4 linked regions of the Xenopus tropicalis genome follow. The main gene of each other region encodes a partner of the protein of the gene in region 4 in a complex. Links are inferred from orthologs where the notes say so. Each region holds a gene or a part of one and is shown on either strand. Other genes may lie near its edges. The genes, in order: actr2, arpc1b, arpc5 and arpc3.

Region 1 (5,914 bases), on a different chromosome or scaffold from region 4:
CCCGTGATAAATCTTCAGTACCACAGGCGACTAATCTCCCAGTGGCCATACGCATCACTTCAGTTTTTCGAAGTTTCCTTGAGAGGAAACTTCTGGCGACTTTGGGAAACTGAAGCAACGCATATGCCATCCCATCGGTGATTTACATTCTTGCCAGTGGGATGGCATGTTGGGGAGATTAGGCACACACAATAGCGAAAATTAATTGTGCGCGACTAATCTACCCGTGTAGATTCAGAAATGCTCTCTCTATAGCAAGGGCAGCTTGCCCTTTTGTTAGTTATTCTGATTTTATATATAAACAGATGCAGGTACTGCTTAGATCATTCAAAATAATGGCATCTGTTAATACAAACAGGTTCCCTGTTAGTGCTAAAAATAATCTGCCAGTAATAGTCTGTTCCATGAGCACGCAGAGCTGTGCAACTTACATAAAGCCAGCCACTTTAGCATCAAAGAATTACATGTAATACCTAAAGCTTCTTGCTGTTCATGATTGTGTGTTGGCATTCGTAGGCGTGATTTTTAACAATTACCGGTAACTTCCGCTGAAATGTTGTTCCTAGTTCATTAACATGCATGAATTCTTTGGAACACATTTGCAATCGTAACACTTAATATTGTTTAAAATTTACTAATATGTTTGACCATGTTTTTTATAGAACAGTATGTGCTGAAATTTACAGAGCAGAATACGTATTTCACAATAAACATATTAGTGATTTAGGTGCATGTGGTGCTTCTGCATTACCTTTGCAAATACTCAATGCCCAGTTTAGTGGTAAGGAGAACATCTCTAACATGTAATGCTTTGTGGGATTCTGCTGCCTGTCTTTAGCTGCCCTTTGCCATTTAGAGAAATGTGCTCATTTTATAATAAACCAGAGCTTAAAATATCTGTTTTCCACCCACATTGATCTGCTAAACAGTTTGCTATATAACTGAGTAGGAGGAACTGGAAGCTAAGCAAATGTGTTGGTATGCTAAAGGCCTTATCAAGGTGATTTCTTGAATCAGGTTTGTTAGCATAGGCTGATAGGTTTGATAGGATAATCAGTCTACCAGGTACACTTACACTGTCAGGGTACTGTCAAATAATATTTTATTTAGTATTTACCAGTTGCATTCACACACAAACTAGACCACATTAGTATTATTGTGTATTTATAAAGCTCCAATATATTCTGCAGCGCTGTAAAAAAAAAAAAATAATGTGCTGTCAGTAGTATATTGGCATGTATATGTGGCCAAAGGAATGGCATGATCAAATGATATCTCGCAAGTTTAAAAACCTCATAACGCAAGGACTTCATCAACTGGTTATGAAGTGTTTTAGTGTCAATGGTAAACAAAAAAACCCTAGGGGGGCAGTTAGTTACTCTTTTACTGGTAGTCCCTTTAGTGCAGGGTTCCCAAACTTATTATACCTGTTTGCCTTATTCAAATGGAAAAAGTGTCAGGGAGCAGCACAAGCATGGAAACATTTCCTGGGGGTGCAAGCAAGAGCTATAATTGGCTATTTGGTAGCCCCTATGTGGACTGGCAGCCTACAGAAGGCTCTGTTTGGCATTTTGCCAGGTTTTTATGCAACCAAAACTTGCCCCCAAGCCAGGAAATCAAAAATAAGCACTGGCTTTGAGGCCACTGGGAGTAACATCCAAGAGGTTGGTGAGCAACATGTTACCCCTGAGTCACTGGTTGGGGAACACTGGTTTAGGGCCTCGGTCTCATAGAGCTGAATCTTGAGCAACTTTGCCATAAGTAGAATTTTTCTTTATAGTATGTGTTGCCATGCATAAACATGCAGTTGTTTTATGGTGGGCGTTAAAAGTCAGAAATTGAAAAAAGTCAAACTAGGAACAAGATGAAGTCCAAAGTTAAATATTTTCAACTATTTTTTTCATTAGAGGATTTTTATTACTAGAACTTAGTAAATGTGTAAATGCTTTACCTTTCTCAACAGTTTTGTTTTAGCAAGGAATCCTCTAAAGCTTTTCAGGATGCAGTCTAATGCACCTCTAGGCCTACAGCTAAAATACAGTATGGTAATGAACCAGTGACGTGCAGTCTGTGGCTATTCTTATACCTACTCCTGGGACACACACAATCATACCACCCTGAACTGCTGCCATTTACTGGTTGGCTGTGGGTTTGTTTCTTTTGTTCAGCACCAGTAGTTGAGGGTGCATTAGATTGATCTAATTTTCAAAATTTAAAAGGCCTATGCGAATATATACCCACCAGTATCTGAATGTGGCTATTTGATACCCAGTTACAGGGAATAGGCTGCTGAGCTTTTGTGCTCTTCCTGGGCAAGTAATTTTATGCAGCATCTTAAATGGCATTACATTTCATTTTTATACACACATTTGAGAGCTATGTTTGCTATGATTTTTAGGATCTGATGGTCGGTGATGAAGCCAGCGAGTTGCGTTCAATGCTGGAAGTGAACTACCCCATGGAGAATGGTATAGTGCGGAATTGGGATGATATGAAGCACCTTTGGGACTATACCTTTGGACCAGAAAAACTGAACATAGACACCAGAGACTGTAAAATCCTGCTTACAGAGCCCCCCATGAATCCAACTAAAAACCGTGAAAAGATTGTTGAGGTATGTTATCCCTTGTACATTGACACCATTAAGTGACCAGAAACATCAAAAAAGTATCTGAGTAATTAAAATATAATGTACTGTTGCCCTGCACTGGTATAAGTTGTGTATTGGTTTATAATAAAGTATAAATAAAGTCTAATAGTGCTTCTTAAACAAAGCTGCTGTGTTGCCATGGGGGCAGCCATTCAAGCTTTAAAAAAGGAGAAAAGGCACAGGTTACGTAGCAGATATCGGGTAAAAAACCATTGTATTTTACAGACCTTTTCTGTTACCTGGTATTTAACCTATGCTTTTTCTACTTTTTTGTCAGCTTGAATGGCTGCCACCCAGCTTATTTGTAGTAGTAGTTTTGTAGTAGTGTTTCTAAAGCATATTATCCCCCCCCCACATTAATTATTATTGCTTAGCTGTGACCTGGGCTAGTGCTTGTGTTTGTGGAAATCTTCACTGCCTTAGGAGCTCATTTTTTGCCATCTTCTGTTTGGCCCCATTCAGGGCACGCATGGGTAGTACTCTATGGTACAGATTTTGGCAAAAAACAGGCATTAGGAAAGTTTATAATTGAGCTTATACTTATACTTATATGATCTTTATAGCACTTAGTATAAAAGTGCTCCTGGTGCCTATTTAGTCATATTATCACTTATTTGTCTTACTCCATTAATTTTTTCTTTTTTTTTCTTTTATTTAAGCAGTATAATAACGAAATGTATAAATTCTGTTTACAGGTAATGTTTGAGACCTACCAGTTCTCCGGTGTGTATGTAGCAATACAGGCCGTACTCACATTATACGCACAAGGTGGGTGATTTCTGAAGTTTTGTCTGTATGTATGAAATATTGTCAGAATATTTTCCCCTTGTAATCTTTTACATGAGCCGTAGCAGTGTGTACTTAACGCTGATTACCCATTTTCACACAAGTTTCACAAACAAATTCTGCTTGTAATTTATTTTACTTGGAAATGTGAATTTACAGGACTGCAATGCACAATACTGAATCTTGCTTATTACATTGGAGAGACTGCGCTGTTTAGTTTCTCTTTGCTCAGGTTATGAGCAAATTCAGGAAGTTGTTTCAACATGGCTGCTATATTATACCTGCTGATGGCTGCTGATTACTGGTGGCAACACCAGTAATACATTCATAGAATTTCCAGAGAGCCTTTCACCTTCTAATATTTCTGTTAGACGAATATAGTGGTAAAATAAATTATAGTCACACCCTTTAAATTACTTTTCTGTGTTACTCCAATAAATAACAAATGGCAGTCGCTGGTTTTATCACTACAAAGTACTGGCCACATACCATAAGGCTTATGTCCCAAGAAGCAAGTTAGATAGATCTCTGTTGCCATGGGCAACTAACCTCTCGGTAATGGCTTTCCACCGGCAGCAAAAGGAGTTATTCACCAATGGTAGCAGAGATCTATCCTGGGCAACTAACATTGGGACATTAGCCTTAGTGCCCCATCCTCTCCCTTCCAACAAAATGAGAGGGGGCAAAAAAAGATCAAGCTATCTCCTTTAGTTAAAATAAAGGATAACACAAATATTCAGTTCTGTTACAAGCATGGAAACTGTTTTATAAATAAAACAAATAGTCCATCTTTGGGCTTCTTAGATGCTGGTTCAGTTTATTTGATGTTATGATCTATTGCAGGCAAGTGCTTAATGTAGCTGACTAAGTATAGGTACATCCTTTTGTTGTTTATGCTGTTGGTACAAATTTCTGTAAATTCAGCATGAGCCATATGTCATTTCACACACACGGGTAAAAGCGTTACCGCACTTAGATAATGATCGACACTGGAGGCCTCATACCTGTTGCCAGTAATATGTCAGTAACAAATTGGATCTGTAGGTGGAACTGAAGCCGGTTTATTAATGTTGCATGTTTGTTCACTTCAACTTCTTTCTAGGTCTCTTGACTGGTGTTGTGGTTGATTCTGGAGATGGTGTCACACACATCTGCCCTGTGTACGAAGGCTTCTCTCTGCCTCACCTCACCAGGAGACTAGATATCGCAGGCAGGGATATCACCCGCTACCTTATAAAGGTAAAATTAAAGAAGGTTTCATTTTATCACTCCTGCCTGTCATTGTTGCTAAAAATGGGTAATCTGAGAGATTCATTTATATAAGTGCTGTCCTGCTGGATTTTATTTATACTGCAACTCGAATGATATTTTTGATATTTCTAATGTGAAGTCAGAATTGCCCTCAGAATTGTGCTAGTACTGTTAAACCATTCCTATTTAAGTTAATGTAGTCCCTTCCAATATCACTGGACTTTAAAAATATATTGTGCTGCCTGGTAGTTTAGAAAAACATGCATTACATGGCTGCGTATAACAAGGGTACTCAAGTGTCTTAGTGATTTTTAACTTAATAAGCCCTTTATCCATGATAATTTCTCCAGTATAGTGTGGTATACTCGTCAGTAGATTTACGCTGTATTTTGACTGAAAATAAACCTTCTTGTATATTAGACACCCTTCCTAACAGTAAGGATAAGTAAAGCAAATGCAATGCATGCTTAGGGTTCCCCCGCTAATATAAAATATAAATTTAATGTAATCTATTGCATGATTGCTATGGTAAATGTCACTAACAATCCAGTTAGACTAAAAATTTCTTCTGAATGCAGTGTTTAACCACACTAAATGGGGCGAAAAAAATAAATCCTAATAATAGCACTGTATGCATCGAATGTAAAATTTAGTTGTGTTAAACCTCTTATTTAAATTTAAAAAGCTTTCATTTAAATTTGAATAAATACATTTTTCTGTTACAAAACACTTTCACAAGTGAACATATAGATAAGCTTGTATAACTGTTTCCAATGATGTATTTCAATCTGACTCCTGCAGTTGCTCTTACTACGAGGGTATGCTTTCAACCACTCTGCTGATTTTGAGACTGTTCGTATGATCAAGGAGAAGCTTTGCTATGTGGGATACAACATTGAACAGGAGCAGAAACTTGCGCTAGAGACAACAGTCCTTGTGGAGTCTTACACAGTGAGTACCATACTCCTCTCCCAAGCATTCTGTAAACAAAGTGTTTGTGTTTCTTTAAAGATATGAAAAGCATTCTCTCTGTATCAGTGGTGTAACTAGATGTTTTAAAGCCCCCATCCACTGCCATCTAAAGAGACCCCTCCCTGCTCCTCGCAGAGTCTTTCAGTGAACAGTGTCTCTGATAGTAAAACTGCTCTATACAAGCAGAACAGTGCAGCGGAGCTAGCAGACAGCATCTTCTGAATCTTCGTGTTTTCTTCGGATCAGATCGGCGAC
Region 2 (6,462 bases), on a different chromosome or scaffold from region 4:
GGGCTCTGGCACATGGAGAGATTAGTCGCCCGCGACAAATCTCCCTTGTTGCGGGCGACTAATCTCCCCGATATGACATCCCACTGGCGATTTACATTTTCGCCAGTGGGATGTCATATTGGGGAGATTAGTCGCCTGCAACAAGGGAGATTTGTCGCGGGCGACTAATCTCCCCATGTGCCAGATCCCTAAAGGGTGATTTTTTGTTTCGGAAGGCTGTTTATAGTAATATTCTTTGTTTTTTTCATAATAAACTGGCACACAAATTCAGCTAAGTAAAATAAATGCTGTACTAACTTGATGCTTAAATGCAGAGCCAATTGCCCCTTGAAAATGTGGCAGATAAAGTGCATTGCCAACTCCATGTATAATGCTCAAGAACATAGTATTTTTATGCTTTATTTATAGCAGCAACATATTTCATGGCACCATACAGAAGATTATACATCATTCCAATCAGTTTCTGCCCTTGTGGAGCCTACAATCTACAATTCTATCTGGAGCCAATTAACCTGCCTGTATGTATTGGGGGGGTGGGGAGAAACTGGAGAAAATACAGACTAACATCTGCAAGAAAAAATAAAATCCCGATTCCAAATAATACCCCATAATTATTATGGATCAGATACAATATTTTTGTAATTTACTTAAAGGGACAGTAACACCAAAAAATGAAAGTGTATAAAAGTAATTACTATATAATGTAATGCTGCCCTGCATTGCTACAACTGGTGTGTTTTCCTTAGAAAGACTACTATAGTTTATATAATAAAGCTTCTGTGTAGCCAAGGGGGCAGCCATTTACAGGAGAAAAGGCACAGGTTACAGATAACAGATAAAACCCCATTATATTCTACAAAGCTTATCTGTTATCTGCTATGTGCCTGTGCCTTTTCTCCTTTTTCCCAGCTTCAATGGCTGCCCCCGTGTTGACATAGCAGCTCATTTATATAAACTATAGTAGCGTTTCTGTTGCAAACTTACCAGTTTTACCAGCGCAGGGCAACTGTACATTATATTTTAATTACTTTAAAGCACTTTCATTTTTTGGTGTTACTGTTCCTTTAAGCTTGTATAAGCACTGCACACAGACACACAAAGGAGTCTCGTTTAGATATGCACATAAAGGAATTCTGAAAACACACCCAGATCTCTCCCCTCCCCTTACTAAGCATTTCTCTCTATTTTGCTTCCGGTGCACTGGTTATATGAGCAGGAATTTTGGCCCCATGGAGATGTACTGATTGCCAGTGTCTGCACAGTGTTTTCTTTTCAAGCTGAAGTGTCAGTATTATCAGGCCCGGATTTGTGGCGAGGCCACAAAGGCCCGGGCCTAGGGTGGTATGCCGCCCCACCGCAACAAAATTTTGACATTTTGCACCCATACGGAGCAAAATAAATAAAAGATAGCATTTGGAATGTTCATGGAATTGACATTGTATTTGATCCATAATAATTCTGGGATATTATTTGGAATTGGGATTTTATTTTTTCCTCCCAACTGCTCCGTATGGGAGTTTAAATGCCCGTGCATGCATGCTTGCGTCGGCGCGGCGCAGGGGTGGTGGGTTTGTTCGCGCATGGGCGGCCTAGGGGCGCCAGGATTTGAAATCCGGCACTGAGTATTATTATACATATGTTGGGCACTGACGCACAGTTATCTGAAGTTCTGAATTTAGATCTCCCCTGACACACTGAGCTCTCTCTGTCTTTAGTTCCTGCCCTCCTCCTACTCCCTCCTTGGTTTAGAACAATTAAGTTAAAGAGGTCATAGTGGGACAGTGAGCCCTTAAAATCAATAGGCCATGGGCAGATTCCACATTTAACCCTTTTATTACAGGGGCCCTAGATGCATATTTACATGATAATGTCCTTTTATATTCGCCACACTCCAATTCAACCCAAAAAGGCCCTGGACCAATACTTTTCCAAAATCTATGCAAAAATGTATTACATTAAAATTTTCCAGCAATCTCCCTGTGCTGATTTCATCAGCCTAAGGAGCAGTAAGCTGAGGGGAGGGTTTTACTGTTAGTAATGCTTTCCTCTGTCTCTGAGCTTGCACTCCCCACCCCCACATAAGGAAGTAGCAAAAAGCCTGGGCAGAGTCTGATACAAGTTCCAGACATTCAGCATTCCGCTGCATCTGTGTTGACTGCTCAGAGTCCACGGACAGCAGCCGTCTTTCCCTGTACCTACTAACAGGAGCAAGTGAGTATTTCATGCAATATCTTTGTGCTACTTGGATTCTGTTGATCCTAACTGACGGTGCAGAAATTTCTCTTGTACTAAATATTTGCTCTGAGTTAGGGCGTATCCTGTAGCTTCATGGAGAACTCAACTTCCTCTGTGTGCTGTTAGTGTCTTATATATCTTCCTATACCTGCTTCTCTGCCGAAACCTTTACTTTTGTCCCTGTGGACTTGGTGAGCATCATTAAAATATTTAAACAAAAGTTACTACTGAAGTTTGAAAAGTCAACCTGCCCGGATCAAACCAATTGCAAAATCTTTTAAGGGAACCCTGCAAGAAATGAGTTATTAGTACTAGCCACATTAAACTTAAAAAAACAAAAAACACCCTTCTTACTTTATTGCTCTAATTCAATGCATTTTAAAATGCGCATGAGGAACCACGCCTTGACTTTTCAATCAGTGAGGAATACTCCTCTTTAAGGGTGAAAGGCACGCAGAGCTACTTGTCACAGCTACTAAAAGAGACAATGCTGATCGTTTACTGCTAATTGTGTCTCTGTGTGTTTTAGCAGAGGCAATAATCAGTATTGTCTATGGCAGGGTATTTTCTTTAGTAGCTGTGACAAGTAGCTGCTACTAAGTAGCTCCATGTATCTTCATCCTAAGGGCCCGTTAAGTTAACTCAAAGGTGAATAACCCCTTTAAGTATCAAGTTTGTGTGCCAGTTTACTATGGAAAAAAAAACAAAGAATATTCCTATAGCTTCCTCAAACCAGCTCTCTCTCTCCACGGATAAGGTGTGCATGTGCTTTTGCAGAGAGATGAGTGGCTTTTCATGTTACATTTCAGCAGCAGCCGGATTCGCTGCCCACCCTTCCTTAGTACCTAACTCGGTTGTCTGCACTTTGTTAGTCCTGGACTTATTTATTTTATTAACTTGTTGTGCCTTTTGGTATATACCTCTGTTTTGTGTCTTGGCATTATCTAGTTGGCTTGCCTTATATTGTTGTGTAATTGAAGATGGATAGAGATTGATAATTATCTATATTACTATTCATTTTTGGTGCCCCCTCCAATATAAAACATTGCCTAAGCAACGAAAAAAAACATGACTGGCCCCCAAATTATTGCCAATTAACATCCTAAGACCTTATGCCTCTGTCTTGGGCCTTGGCTAGTTGGTTTGCCTTGTATTGTTGTCTTATTGCTGAAATTTTGGGTGAGAATGGATAGCGACTGATAGTCGAATAATTTGGGTTGGGGGCGATGTGGGACACCGGCCTATGGGTGTTCTCAGGGGAAATCCGGCCCTGAAAATATCCCTGCTGATGCAGAAAACCTTAAATCACAAGTTGGATAGTATAGTAGAACTATAAGTGTTAAAGAGAAAGTCACTTCAATATGCCAAAATATTCTCTACGGACGAGTATGGAGCCTGCAGAGCTGTCAACTCCCCTTATTTCTTTGAGAGTTACCCAATTTTAAAGGCTCTGCCCCATTCTCCCTTCCCCCAGCAGTAGTCTTATGAATTCCTACAATGAATTTCAGACGAGCATTAAACATTCAGTGATGTCACTTGATGCATTTGCACATGTACAGGGAGAATTTTTTGGCTTCAGTAGCGATTTTGTGTGTGTGCGTGACGGCACTTCCGAAAGTATGTGTAACTTTGCTGCCGGGTATCGGGGAAAATTTTCGGGGGCACAGTTCCCCTGGCTAGTCTAGCTGTCACGTTGACAGCTCTGAACCTCCAGAATACTGAAGACTAGAGGGTTTCCAGATAATTGGTTTTCTGTAATTTGGATCACCATTCCTTAAGTCTACTACAGTTTCTAAATATACCGTGTGTATGTGTGTGTATATGTATGTATGTATGTATATAGGTAGTTATATCGCACTGCATAGATTTTCATATTTCCTCTCTGCAAGCCAAGGGGCCTCTCACCCTTTGAGCATAGTAATCTTTTTCCATTCCTTTGCTGGTCATTGATCGGATTGGCTGACATGTTTTGGCCAATCCGATCAGGAAAATGCAAATAAAAGGGGCATGTGCAGTACTGTCATTCTGACACAGCCAGAGGATCAGTGACCCTGGAACATGCACACATACTCATGCAGTACATGTTTCTCTAGACTAGAGGAAAATTTCAGGTGACTTTGGGAAATCGTAGCGACGCGTATTCCATCCCACCGGCGATTTACGTTCTTGCCGGTGGGATGGCATTGCTGGGAGATTGGTCACCCACAGCAACAAAGATTTGTTTGCGGGGCAACTAATCTCCCCATCTGCAACTGCCCTTAGAATCCAAATCAAGAGTGAATCCAGTGAGTGAGCATGGGGAAGGCAGTAATGGGGAGGCGCTACTGATGTGTGTGTAAATGTGCTAGGGAAGGTAGATTAGAAACTTCCCTCTAATGCAGAGTTTAGTGGTGTGACCACTTCCTGTGAGAGAATGAAGAGACACTCCTAGTTTCAGCCTAGACTCATGCAGCTCTTTTGCAGCTCTTGCCAAAAAGGTAAAATGCTTTAAAAATGTATATTTCTGCATCATTATTGTGAGAAGGGAAGAATAATATACCTGAAGATGAGTATTGCATAACATATCCCCTTTAATAAGGTAAAGAGAAGTTGATGGTGGTAAAGCTCTGAAATTCAGCAATGTATCAATTAATGTGTTTTAGTTGATACACAACAAAATTTCATATACATTTTTAAAAAGATTTTCAGATATTCTTTGTAACTAGACTCAGGTAGACTGTAAATGGAATATTAAACTGGTGAATACCATCAAATGCAAACAACTTTAAGAATGAGATGAGAAACCAATTAAACAACAGACATTATATTTTTGACTTGTTTAACGAGGAATATGCAGAAATCTTTTATAAAGTGTTCAAGTACCACTGCCTATTTTTCTTTTTACTGGAGAACCACAATAATAAGGGTAAATATTAGGGATGCACTGAACCCACTTTTTTGGGTTTGGCCGAACCCACCCTGATGGAGTCTGCTGAATCCTGAACTGAATCCTAATTAAGCATGTGCTAATTAAGATTGGAAAGGGTTGAAAGTTGCCGTGTACACAAATAAAATTCCTTAAAACTCCTTTCTGGGTGCTAATTAGCATATTCTAATTTATGCTAAGTAGGATTCAGATTCGGTTCGCCCGTTACCGTGGATTTGGCCGAAACCGAACCCATCAAAAAAAGGCTGGATTAGGCCCGAACCCCGAACCTAATCCGGGATTCAGTGCATCCCTAGTAAATATGAAACAATCTGATTGGTGACTTGCCTCATCTGTCTAAATGGCCAAACTCCTTTATTTGTTCAGAGCCCTCCCTGTCTGAGTCAATATTATTTGTTTCCACTAAAAAGAAAAATCCTTCAATTTATCTGGGGCTTTAAGTATTATGGAGTAAATAAAGCTCCCTTTAACTGTTTACAGAACCAAGGTAGTGCCAAGGTTTCACACTTAAATGGAATAAATGCCATTTTTTGACACAAGATCATTTAGTTGGGCTTATGCAGATAAGGTGCATAAACTGATTTAATTCCAGAAATAAATCTTTTTTACAGACCTATCTGATTACACAAATTAAAAGTAAACCATGATACTCATACCAAACAATTCCATACCCATCTCAGGCTCACCATGTCATAGAACCTCTCTCTTACTTTCAATGTTCCATTGTCAAGTTATAGTTCCATGGACCTAACGTCCCTTTGCTTTCTGCGGTGCACATATTATGTACAAAACGTCCCAGAATCCATCACTTCACAATGGAATGGAATGAGATGAGGGAGGACTTCAAACAAATGAAGATCTGCTCATTTGGTGAGGTTACTAAATGTGCAGATCTTTCTTTGGATCCTAATTGCAGCTATGTAGGCCATTAGATCAAGGACTGCATTAAAGCACAAGAGAAAGCAACACAAGCACAATAAAAGTTCATGGAGGTGCCAAATAAGATTGGCTATTTGGTAGTCTCTTTGCACACTATCAGCTTACAGGAGGCTTTATTTGGTAGTAAATTTTGCTTTCATTTAACCAAAACTTGCCACCAAATCACCCATGATGTTGCTCATAGCAACCAATCAGAAATTAGATTTGAACAGTCACCTACAAAGTTTTAAGGGTCACTCTCCTACTGGTAAACCTTTCTTCTAAGTGCCCCCTGCCCTTCACTTACTAACCTGTGTCAATCCCTAGCACAGCTTGAAGGAGAGTAGCTTTGTGCATGTTGCTGTATCAGGGTGTGGGGAAGT
Region 3 (6,413 bases), on a different chromosome or scaffold from region 4:
TGCATCTATTTGCATCAATGGTGCCAGATAAACTATATTAAGCTTTTCATCCTTTAGCTGTGTTGTAAATGACAAATAGCCAGTAGCCTACTGTGCACTTGGAATACTTATGGATTGTCATAAAACCCTCATATGGAGTTTTAGCTCATTAACTAAAGCAGCTGTATCCCAAAATGACGAGATGCCTGTTTAATCCACAAACAGGAAACCCATTCAAATATTCTATTGTTATTACTGGAAAAATAAAAACCAAAATGTAATCTTAGGCCATTATTGGATGTATGGCAATTGGCTGCACAGTGTCAGTAAGTACTTTTAGGCAATTAAGAGGTAAGTTCTGAAAAACAGACAAATTCCCTAAAGACCCAAAGTCTAACTATATGTTACTTACTTATAAGTAACTTACACTTACTTATAAACAGACTATGGATGAACTTGTAAATGTGATCAAGTCATCTCTGCTTTTTGATTTGGGAAAAGGCTGCTATAGCTGCATAGTAAGCACTGTCTGCTGCATCAAGCGCAAAATATCCCTTTTAAACATTTAGGCCCTGAGGGAGTAATGTAATGAAATCCAGATTCCTCCAAGATATGTATCGGAGATATCTGTTCAGAGATATAAAAGCTTTAGATTGCAAAACGCCACTCCTGAGAGTATGCTCCTAGCTGACTGGAAAATCGCAAAGCAGAGGAACGGACAGTGACTTTGACTTAAGACCAAGTTTGGTGCTTTTGCCCTAGAATTAATGAGGTTAGAAGGTGCAGTTAGATGTAGGTGAAGGGAGCACTGTAAGTGCCTATATTTACTATCAGTCCACATATTTTTGGGGAAGGGTGATTATTCAGAAGAGCCCAGCTCATTAAGGGCAGGTAATGAAATGCAGATAACTTAATACTTCTGTCAACAGAGCACTGCACTCACAGCACACACTTGTACTGCTTTGTTCAAAAAATGTATAAAAAAATCAAAGCTGCAAAAAACAGAAGGAAGAATAGAAATGTGGCAGCGAAGAGTTAAGGGTTGGCTTGCCACAGCTTAGCTGCGGCACAGGATTTTGGTCTTGGCACCAGCTCTTCCTTGTCACAAAACATGAACATTCAAACGGTCTTTCTTGCAGTCAGAACTCTGACTATGGAGCCAACGCCTGCCACTGCCAGAGCCTATGGAAAAGAAAAACATAGGCAAAAGTAAAAATGAGGTGGTAATGTATTCAGCTAATTGGTAATGTTGCCTTATTTTTTTTAATACAAAAGTACCCATAAGGAGTTTATTTAAAAGGTTTTGTCAATACATTAGCATTCTGACCAAACGTGACAGCTGTATAAAGAAGAGGCTGTGCTATCATTTATTCCTGTCCCTCTAGATTCAGTGACAACATTTTGTCAATCTGGACAGACCCTGCTTGGGTTTGTCCAACTATTTTGTTAAAGCCATATTTTAGTTTTGCCATAAAGAAGAAACTCGAAAAATCGGATTGGAAACGAACATTTTGCGATTTTTTCGTGAATTGTCGCAAATTGTTGCAACTTTTTCGTAGCCGTTACGACTTTCGCGAGTTGTCGCAACTTTTTCGTATTGAGCGCTTTCGTACTCGGCACGAGAGTACGATTTTTTCGCGACGGAAAAGTCGCGACGGCGACAAAAAAAATCTCAAAATACAGATCATTACAAATTAGTAAATTTGCCCCTAGGAGTTAAATCCTTGTGTACATGCTCCCTCACTGAACAAGTTTTGGGAGGGCATGAAGTGTGCTGTTAACAGTGTTCCAAAACTGCTCAGTTACTGCTACCACTCAAAAATATAGAATCAGATTTCATGGATAATTTTGTCCCTAACAACTGCTGCTAGGGGAGACCTACAGGGTCTGAAACATTTTTAGAAGAGGGATCAGCATTAAAAGGTATCTACTTATATGGGAAGGCACTGTATGCCTTTAAAGAATAAGTAAACCTTTTTTTTTTTTTTTTTAATCTAAATTTACTCTAAAATTACTCTGTTTAGCCCCCAGAATAACATACCTTTTTTCCCTGCATCCAGAATTACTTTGTCTCTCTATTACAAGCAGATGAGCTGCATCTCTTTTACCGGCTTCCTTGTCTAGTGTGAAGCCCCGCCCCTTTTGCTTTATGAGTCCCCCTTTCTCTCTCTCCGACTATGATGACCTAATAGAGGTGCCTACTCTGCATGCCTGATGTGTTTGTCAGCTCCATAGTACTTTGCTCACCTTCTCATGCCACTGCAACAAGACAGCACTGCTGTTGTCAGACGGACTCTCAAAGCCCTTGTAGATGTATTTCATTAAGAGGTCCATGTTATTTTTGTCTAAAGATTGAACAGCCTTTTCTATGTCATTAGCTTTAAAGGAGATTAGAACTTTCAGCACCAGGTGCTCAGCTCGATCCTAAGTAAAAAGCAATGATAAAGTCAATGTCCATACTCCAAAATTTAAAATAAAGAGTTAGAAAATTGTAAAACTGTATTGGAAAACTTGCTGGTATGACCAACTGAGTAGTGGCTGATTATTGGTACAGAATGCATTAAGTGCAGCAAAATAAGTTTGGCTGAAAGTAAGATATGAATATAATTTATAAAATAGTGTGGCAATAAAACTATTGGCAGGAGGAACAAAAAGCAAAGAGGAAGTAAGCACTGACTGATGTATATTCTGTACCCAATACGCCACTTTATAACTACCTTATTTATCCTTCAGCAAATAATAAGCAAATGAATAACAATTTGTTTCCTGTTGTATTTTACTAGAAGCATATTACCTTGGCAGACTGATTCTTGGTATTAATTGGTGGGTTCTTTAGAGCAGCTTGCAGAGCTCCCATCATGTTTCCTGTAGCAAGCTGTTAAGGGAATAACGTACTGACACAAAAGAAATGCCATACAATAATTACAGAACAATTTCAGTTGATGCTTTATATTCACAGATCCCTATATGGCCCTGGCCTAATATTAGCATAAATCTGAAAAAGCCTACTGTGCATATATATGGAAATATGGTCTGAATTGAAAATGTGTTAAAACTAATGAAAAAAATATAGATCTGGGACAAAAGTGTAAAAAAAGCCAACCAAGCAGAAGTTCCCATGCTTCCTGATGACTGAGACTGAGCCACTTCCTGCATTCCTAAACCTGAAGCAAGACCAAGCTTGCCTCACAAAAACATATAGCTTGTACTATAACACCACAACGACCAATAACTGCTACAGAACCATCAAGGTGTGTTTAACTGTGTGCTCAACCTGTGTGTAACTTGGCTCAAAGTCCACTATTGTATTATCCACCCTTGGAAACACCGATAAGAAAGCATGTAAATGTATGTGATTTCAAACAGAGAGAGAGTGAGAAAGAAAGTGTTTTTGTTTAGATAGACAGAGAAAAAGAAACAAAATGCACAGGATAAAGTGACTGACACTCCCACAGCCTCACAGCAAGTTCCTCTTTGTAGGAAAAGGAGATTAACTACTGACATTTCCTACACAGCAGAGCCTCTATATACGGTTTGCAAGTATTTTGCTTGCCATAGATCCTTTAGGTATGTAATATGGAGTCAGTGTGCAAACTGGAGTTGGTATGCACAGCTTCTGCATATCCACACATAGCAAATGACAAGGTGCATAGACAAAAGCAAATGTGTATTGACTCCAGTTTGAAAGCTTATTAGGCTACCATATCAGGACTATGCCAGTTTATTCTAGTAGATATTCCTGAAACCTTAGCTTGGAGATCAAACAAAGAGAAGGGTGTAGGGGGAAGTATAGGCTTTGCAAGATGAAGATGAGTACAAAGCATGACAGGAATAGTGGAAACAGTGGCAGTCAGCCCTCTCCATGTGACACCGCACACCTTCAGCATGTTAGCACTATGACACGGTACAGCCCATATGTCAGGCGATTAGGAGCATGTCTGTTCATACAAAGGTACAATGCCAGGCCCTGCCAGCACAGACAACATACAAGGATATCCCCGAATCGCGCTATCAACCTCCCCCTCGTCGGGTCCTTGCTGTCCTTCTCCCGCCTCCTCTTCGTCAACGAATTTGTTCTCATCATATTCATCCACATCTACTTTCCGGAAGCGTGCAGACACCGTATTCTTCGCCATCCCGAACCGGAGACTCTGTGCTGCTGGCAGGGAGCGGTCGTACTCAATGCGCAGGCGCAGCGGCTTCCGCTTTTATTCTCGGCTTCCGGAGACTGTCAGAGCGCTAGTTTTGCTGGTGTGGTTACCTCTGCCGGGATTAAGGCAGTATCAAAGCGTTCAGTCTATTCTGTGGGCTTTACCCAGGCGGGACACTCAGGCTGGGCCCGTGGGTAGTACATTTACCTGGGCGGTGGAGGTGTCAGGGGATAATCAGTTTGGTGTTTTCCAGTGACCTGACCTGTTGCATGGTAAAAAAAACTGTGGCATGGCTTGCTGGACTGCTTTTGTACAGAAAAAAAGGATTTTCTGGCAAAGTCCTCACCGTTTTGTGGGTTTCACGCAGTGCAGGACGGGTGTTTATATAAATCCAGACTAAATAAATAAAGTTAGGTATTGTAAGTGTATTGAGTGCATTTTGTGGAAGTCTGTGTTGCTGCATATGCTGATGGAATATGTGTATTTCCAATAGCATGTTTTATATAATATCCTGTGGTTGTCATCCCCTTAATTCAATGTTCCAATAGTTTATGTAATGGTACTATAGCAATGGCTTGTTGTCAGATCTTGTTATAATGTTAGTGTTTAATATAAAATAGTTTTTGCTTGTTCTACCCCCTCCCCCTTTTCCTTCTGAGCCTCCTCCATTCCTTGGGGCTGTTGCCTCGAGAGGAAACTTTGTCGATTTCAGCGCCGCGTATGGCATCCCACTGGCGATTTACATTCTAGCCGGTGGGATGGCATTTTGGGAAGATTAGTCGCCTGCACCAAGGTAGATTTGTCGCATGGCGACTAATCTCCCCGTCTGTCACAGCCCTTACGAAAGACGTGTAAATATAGAATTAAAAAAAAAAAGAATATCCTGTGGCAGACAATTATTGCCCCCCGGGTTGTGGACCCCTAACAAGTAACATAGTAAGTTAGGTTGAAAAAAGACATATGTCCATCAAGTTCAACCATAATGCCTATATATAACCTGCCTAACTGGTAGCTGATCCAGAGGAAGGCAAAAAAGTTTCCTGCCCAGTTCTCACAGGTGACATAAAACCTCAATATAGCGTCAAACAGTAATAAGAATGGGAACACAGGAGCAACTATGCCCTTCCATTGCCTGACAGGCTTTACTAGGCACACTTTCTTCTTTTTTTGTTGTTAAAAAGACAGATTCTAAAAGTCTTTCTGCATTTGGTTAATATGGTGATTTTATACACAGTAAATTGTCATTCTAGACACCATTTTCATGGATTTGGAGTACCGTTTAAAATCAGTCAATGTGAGTTTTTTTCTCATCATAAGCAACACTTTGGTGGTGTTCATAATGTCAAACTCATGTACAGGCAAAATGTTGCTACTTCAACTTTATGACATAAAAACTCATTTCTATGTAGGGTGGCAATAAAAAAAGCGTCATTTGGACAATTGTAAATTTGTCACATATGCAATTTCTATGTTATTTCAGTTGTTTGGTTTGCAACAGGGATTCAGTGAATCCAGGATAACTGAAATAAACAGAAATTTTGTTCATAGATATTGCATTTTATTGATTGTTCTCAAATTTGCACACGGACATTAGAGATTGGAGTTGCATAAGTATTTTGACAAGTCTTTTATGAAATATTCAGAATTTTGCCAATTCCAAAAATTATGAATGTAGTCAGCTAATCCATGTCCATGAAAAGGCACAATTGCAGGGAATATTTTTGAAGTCTGGCTCACGTAATTTCTGGTATTTAGTGTGCGAGTGACCTGTGCACCCTATTTTTTGGGGGCAACTTATCTGTTCCACTTAATTCAGGGTGCTGAGGGAACAGTGGAGCTACCACCTAGTCCAGAGGTGGCTGTAGCTCATTTGTCAATAGGCCAGCAGCACCTGATGGTCTAAGGACTAAGAGGACTAAGCTGTGAATATTAACACTGTAACCTGTAATGGAAGTGTTTTTTTATGCCCTGCTAACTGCAGGGAAAAGTGCAAGTTGCCCACTGTGCATGCAGACATAAATGAGCTCTATAGTAATATATATATAACAACATTTTTATAGCAATTTTCTGCTGTGGGACTTAAAGCAAAATACAAATATCAAATTCCAGTTACTTATGTTTTTGTATCTCTCAAAACCAGGGCCGCCATCAGGGGGGCACAGCGGGGACAGCTGTACCGGGCCCGGGCAATTTTTACTTTTAAAGGGGGCCCGGCGGCGCTACAGTTTTCTTAGTCGCTCAGGCCCCCTTTAATAAAATCCGGGCCCTGTCATTGGCTATCTG
Region 4 (5,914 bases):
TCCAGTGGATTGTTTTGGTACTAGCACCCAGGTTTTGTTGCTGCAAATGGTGTGCACCCTATGGACTATTTTATTATATATATTATACAATATTCAAACCTTCACACTACAGAAACCCTCCCACCACCATACACCATTAATAATAAAAACACAATGTCTCTACACACACACACACACAAAATACTGCAGTTACTAAGAATACACTAACTAAACAGTATCTATGCGCAGTTAACAAACCTGTCTTTCAGTTCCTTCCCCCCACCATAAGTCAATATCTCATAACATATATGTCTGCTAGCTCCTTCATTTAATATCCTGCTCCAGTACCATACTTCACTGTTCCTTCCTTCCTTAATTAGCATGTCTGCCTGCTTCTACCTGGTACCCACTTTAACTACATGCAAGCCTCTACCTTTAGGCTAATGACCCACGAGGAGATTTAGTCGCTGCGATTTTTAAAAAACGAGTTCAAGCGACAAGTCGCAAGTCTTTTCATAACAATCGATAACTAGAGATTTCAACAACAAAGCGATTCTATTTCCCACGAATCCAGGTGTCGTATTCCCTACCCACAATTAGAAATTACATTCAGTGAATGGGGAAATCAGAGCGACTTCCCACTCAGTGATTTCTTTGTAAAAAGGGTCTCATAGTGATTCGGAGCGATAAGCAATTTGAAGTAGTATTGTCATTTTATGTACTGGCGATTTTTATTCTTCTCTATGTAGAGACAAAATGAGCGACTTGTCGCTGGAACTCACTTTTTAAAAATCGTAGCGACTAATCTCTCCGTGGGACATTAGCCTTACAGACTGATCTGTGGAATTAGGCATAAGGTCCTTTACACTACAGAAAACTCAGATTACTTACCATCCTCCTGTTTGTTGGAAGGTTTCACATACATTGCATTTAGGGGGAATCCTGGTTCTCCAGGGATAGGAAAGTTTGTAATCCCCAGTGTATACATTTCCTTCTCTCCCTGTCCTTTAGAATTGCACTGGAAGAACAACAAAAAAAAACATTAACCAACAAAACAGCATGAGCACATTTTTTCTGTTTTCCATTATTCACAGAGGTGAAGACGAATGTAAGGCTACAATGTATCCCGAGAAAACAACAGGATTTCACATTGACAGGGCAAATTATACTTAAAAAGCAGATGCCCTATTTATCTACATTAGATCAACATTGAGATACTTCTGTCACATGAAAGCATATGTTTTCTGTTTTCATTAAACTATACAGAGAATTTAAATACAGCAACATGCTATAATAAGTAAATATAAACTTGGCTTAGGGGTCTCACACATACACCAAGTGCATATTTGTAGCAATGAGGGCTTGTCCTTGTTCATTTGTATATCTCGCACTCTGCACAAATGAAGCTTAAACAAGACACAGAACCTTATTCAGAAGCACTGCCTATAAAAAAGGCACTTTTGTAAAACAATGGACAGCTAACAAAACAAAGAGAGAACATTTATGGTATGGGACAGGTAAAATTTGCTATGTGTAAAGTACTTCAGCCATACAAATGTATATGCTTTCTTTAAGCTGCATTCAAAGGAAATACAATGCATGGCTAATGGGATGGTGTGCATTACAGCACTAGTGGATACGAGTGACATACAAGTACACATACATGTATATGCGTAGGTCACTTGGGATATAAATTATCTGCTGGTCAGTTTTTTTTTCCTAATAATGTATAGTTCTCCTTTAAGTCATGTAGTATGTAGCACAAAAAGGCTACCAAATCTTACCTTCTGTAGTTTTTTTAAGCATTCGGAAATATACAGAGTTATGTATATTAATGTCCGATCAGCCTCGTTCTGTAAAGAGAAGCGTTTATATACAAACAGTGAATATTAGTTTTGTTTACTAGCGAAAAAAAACATTATTATAAAGCGAAGTAGGAAATGTGCCCACTATGTGGATATAGAATTTGCAACGTTTCAGTAAGATTTTTTTGCATAGTGAGATCTGATAGCTTACCTTTATTTCATAGTTTTTGAAGAAAACATTAGCCTTAAAGTAATAAATAGCTTCATCAATGATATCTGTGTCTTTTGCTTGAAAGACAAAATACAAAAGTGATTATGGACAAAAATGCTGTAATGTTCATACAAGCTAAAAACTTATATTCATTTTGCAATAGTTAAATACTTAAATATTTGCCGATTTATAACAATTGTACTAGTGCAGTTGTCCTTAGCAACTGATCCGCTTTGATCAAGCAACCAAGATCTGATTGGTTGCTATAGGCAACATATCATTAATTAACATAATTCATATTTTTTTGTTGCAAATTATGCCCAATGCCTTCTCTCTCATTAATGGATCAATTAAAAAAAGCTATATATAACATATACCTACATGCAAAGCAGCACAAAACCCCATTATATAATGCATATAATCTCCAATATAGAATTTTATTATTTGCATTACAATATATAATTATATATATATATATATATATATATATATATATATATATATATATATATATTACATAATAAGCAGCAATCACTGCATCACGGACTATTGATGGGCCTAAAGTAAAAATTCCAAGAGAACTACTGAATTAACACTTGGTTGCATTGAGGAATCCTCCAGCAAGCTGAGACCCGCCACATGGATAACATGAGGAATTTATGTAAAACATTTGGGGTTGGTAAGACTTACTTTCTCTAGGGGCTGGTCCTTTAAACTGGCTTCTTATGGGTAGCATTGCCATGTTACCAATCAGCTTGGTGTCTGACTCCATAAGCATTGAATGGTAGGCCTGAAACACAAATCAGAAAAGCTTTAACATTTTAAGAGCTATATATGCTCAGTGTGAAAAGGTTTTTTATTAAACTATTTTTTATCCAGACAGTTGTTTTTTGTTAGAAATGTATAATCTTACACAATACCTCAGTCAATTCCTTCAAGATTTTCTGCAGCCACTAGCTGACCAGTAAGACATTTATGCCATAATAACTGTACCATTAGGTGGACAGTTTCTATAGTATTTTATCCTAATTCTCCTAATTACGGTTTTACATTACCAATTATAAAAAGATTTATATATAATGTTCAGAATTAATATCTGATTTTAAGGCCTATGCTGTTACCCAAATCCTTTTGCGTTTAGAGAAAAGGATCACCATTAAAATGAAAGGGTTTCTCCATCCAAAAACAATTTATTACACAGTAAAAGAAAATGTAATTGTATGCAACTTTCCAATATGCGTTCATTTTAAAAATTCAATGGTTTTAAAGTTATTTGTAAATGTAATTGCTACTGAACACAGTATCTGTCATAACTCTTCTAGGTCTGTTACATTGTTTTAATACATAAACAAACAGTACTTTCAATTACAACTATCTTTATAAATAACTTTATACCCACTGAAAATCTTTTGCTTATGTATATGAAAGTTGCTTAGAATTGTTTTCTTTTTATCCAAAAGACTGTGTGCGTGGAGGACCCCTTTAAGCATTCAGGGAGGAGTAAAATAATGTTGCAGAAGTAGCTGGGGGTCATTGCTATGTGGGATAGTTCTAACATGCACAGCTACATTTTGGATACAATACTTGACCTTGAAACTTGACCTTGAAACAATATTTTATACAAAGGTGTGGCCTTGCTTTACTTTTGAGTCTCAAATTTCATAACTAATCACGCTAATAAACATTAAGGCCTATGGCATTTTTAGAACAGATCAAAATTCATGTGACCTGCTCAGGGGGCTTTCATCTGTTAGCAATGTGAAGAACCATGATTTATTCCAGCAGGTCTGGACTGGGATTCAAAATAGGCCCTGGCATTTCAAGTACACAGAGGCCCAAACAGCCCCCACCAGCCCAATATATAGTGACTGTCTATGGCATCTTACAGTAGCCCCTCTGGCATTTGTCAGAACCCACAGTTCAGGCCTGTATCCCAGCCCCCTGATAATCATGCATAGTACAGAATGGCAACCCACAAAGCTTCCGCTGCACTATTATATAAAACCACAAATGTACATTAGTGCTTTACAAGGTGTAAACACAAACAGGGGTATGGTTATTATAAACTAGACAGTGATAATAGTACATAAATGCTAAGAGTTTTAACACACACTTAAAAGAAGGTTGTTGTGTATGGTGTTTCATACACACAAAGCGATTTCATAAAAATAAAATACCTAAATATATTAGCAGTATGTGCCATAACAATCCCATATTGAAACACTTCCATTTTAAGTGCTAAAGTCTGCCCTCTCCCTCAAATGAAGTACTGTGCTCACAGTGCTAGTTTACATCAGGAACCTAATAGACAGAGCTGTTTATTTCACTCCCTGTTACAGTAAGTGCTGCACTATTGCCTGTCAGGTGATCTATGTGGGAGTAAACAGATTAGAACCAAATGGTGATTTTGTACTGAAATGATCTGTCATTGCTGGCTATGTAAATCGCCACAGCAAAATTTTTTATATTGCATAATCTAGAGTAAAGGTGGCCATACACGCACCGATAATATCGTACGAAACGAAGGTATGTCAGCAAGTCGACCGATATCGCAGGAAGCTGCTGATATCGCCCGACTCGCCGATCGGACCAGTTTGAAAATTTTGATCGGGTGCCATAGAAGCCGCCTGACCAAAATCTCCCTTCATCGCTGAATCGGCAGAAGGAGGTAGAAATCCTATTGTTTCTACCTACTTACCTGCCGATTCAGCCCTGAATGGTGTGTGGCGGATCTGACGATGTTTCGTGCGACCGATGGTTGCACGAAACATCGTCAGATCGCCACGTGTATGGCCAGCTTAAGTACCCTCCAAGGCATTATCACACAATCTGTTTAATTTGCATTGCCTGTAATGGCATTGTCTTTCAGTTGTTTTGTTGCCCTTGCATGGGCAACAAAATGACTGGTGTCTCATTGCCCTAGAACAGGGCTGTCCAACTGGTGGCCTGGCGACCCCCCTCTGTGTGGCCCCCCACCTGTCTGGCTGCTTTGATGGCTTACCTTTGTGTATTACCTTTAAATGGTATCAGTACTGAGATTAACTGCCCCCTGCATTGCTCACACCTCAGATTCAGGCTGTAATCCCCCTGTATTGTTTAATCATGTAATCCCCTGTACTGTTCACACCTTTTAATGCCTTCATTGTTTTCCCCCTGCAGTGTTCACACCTCAGGCTCTGGCTGTAATCACCCACATTGTTCCCCTGTTCACACCTCAGACATTCCCTCTGACACATCCAGCATTGTGTCACTGTATGCTGCCTGTGTGTGCAATAGGGCAGGCATAGTATGGCACACATAGGCAGGGGTGGGAAGGAATAGTATGGCACACATAGGCAGGGGTGGACAGGAATAGTATGGCAGACATAGGCGGGGGGGCAGGCATAGTATGGCACATACAGGCAGGGGAGGGCAAACATAGTATGGCACACATAGGCAGGGGAGGGCAAGCATAGTATGGCACACATAGGCAGGGGAGGGCAGGAATAGTATGGCACACATAGGCAGGGGTGGGCAGGCATAGTATGGCACACATAGGCAGGGGGGGCAGGCATAGTATGGCACACATAGGCAGGGGAGGGCAGGAATAGTATGGCACACATAGGAAGGGGTGGGCAGGAATAGTATGGCACACATAGGCAGGGGGGGGCAGGCATAGTATGGCACACATAGGCAGGGGAGGGCAAGCATAGTATGGCACACATAGGAAGGGGAGGGCAAGCATAGTATGGCACACATAGGCAGGGGAGGGCAGGCATAGTATGGCACACATAGGCAGGGGAGGGCAAGCATAGTATGGCACACATAGGCAGGGGAGGGCAGGCAGAGTATGGCACACACAGGAGGGGTAGGGCAAGCAGTACTCTGCCTGCTCTATGCCTCCCCTATGCTGCCTGTGTGTGCCATACTCTGCCTTCCC

Evidence for each region.
Region 1: arpc3 (region 4) and actr2 share a complex: the UniProt entries of both Homo sapiens proteins name them as parts of the arp2/3 complex. The link is inferred for Xenopus tropicalis from reciprocal best matches to the Homo sapiens genes ARPC3 and ACTR2.
Region 2: arpc3 (region 4) and arpc1b share a complex: the UniProt entries of both Homo sapiens proteins name them as parts of the arp2/3 complex. The link is inferred for Xenopus tropicalis from reciprocal best matches to the Homo sapiens genes ARPC3 and ARPC1B.
Region 3: arpc3 (region 4) and arpc5 share a complex: the UniProt entries of both Homo sapiens proteins name them as parts of the arp2/3 complex. The link is inferred for Xenopus tropicalis from reciprocal best matches to the Homo sapiens genes ARPC3 and ARPC5.

What each region holds. Positions count from the first base shown.
Region 1 is NC_030681.2:31,966,407-31,972,320, reverse strand, and holds part of actr2 (actin-related protein 2), read left to right. Parts: intron 1-2,398; coding exon 2,399-2,614; intron 2,615-3,345; coding exon 3,346-3,418; intron 3,419-4,538; coding exon 4,539-4,675; intron 4,676-5,488; coding exon 5,489-5,638; intron 5,639-5,914. UniProt on the Homo sapiens protein: ATP-binding component of the Arp2/3 complex, a multiprotein complex that mediates actin polymerization upon stimulation by nucleation-promoting factor (NPF).
Region 2 is NC_030685.2:41,788,923-41,795,384, forward strand, and holds the start of arpc1b (actin-related protein 2/3 complex subunit 1B), read left to right. Parts: upstream 1-2,082; 5' UTR 2,083-2,211; intron 2,212-6,462. UniProt on the Homo sapiens protein: Component of the Arp2/3 complex, a multiprotein complex that mediates actin polymerization upon stimulation by nucleation-promoting factor (NPF).
Region 3 is NC_030680.2:99,902,199-99,908,611, reverse strand, and holds the start of arpc5 (actin-related protein 2/3 complex subunit 5), read right to left. Parts: upstream 4,143-6,413; 5' UTR 4,116-4,142; coding exon 3,976-4,115; intron 2,847-3,975; coding exon 2,774-2,846; intron 2,404-2,773; coding exon 2,227-2,403; intron 1,162-2,226; coding exon 1,099-1,161; 3' UTR 1-1,098. UniProt on the Homo sapiens protein: Component of the Arp2/3 complex, a multiprotein complex that mediates actin polymerization upon stimulation by nucleation-promoting factor (NPF).
Region 4 is NC_030677.2:162,788,696-162,794,609, forward strand, and holds part of arpc3 (actin-related protein 2/3 complex subunit 3), read right to left. Parts: intron 2,786-5,914; coding exon 2,686-2,785; intron 2,073-2,685; coding exon 1,996-2,072; intron 1,833-1,995; coding exon 1,764-1,832; intron 998-1,763; coding exon 871-997; intron 1-870. UniProt on the Homo sapiens protein: Component of the Arp2/3 complex, a multiprotein complex that mediates actin polymerization upon stimulation by nucleation-promoting factor (NPF).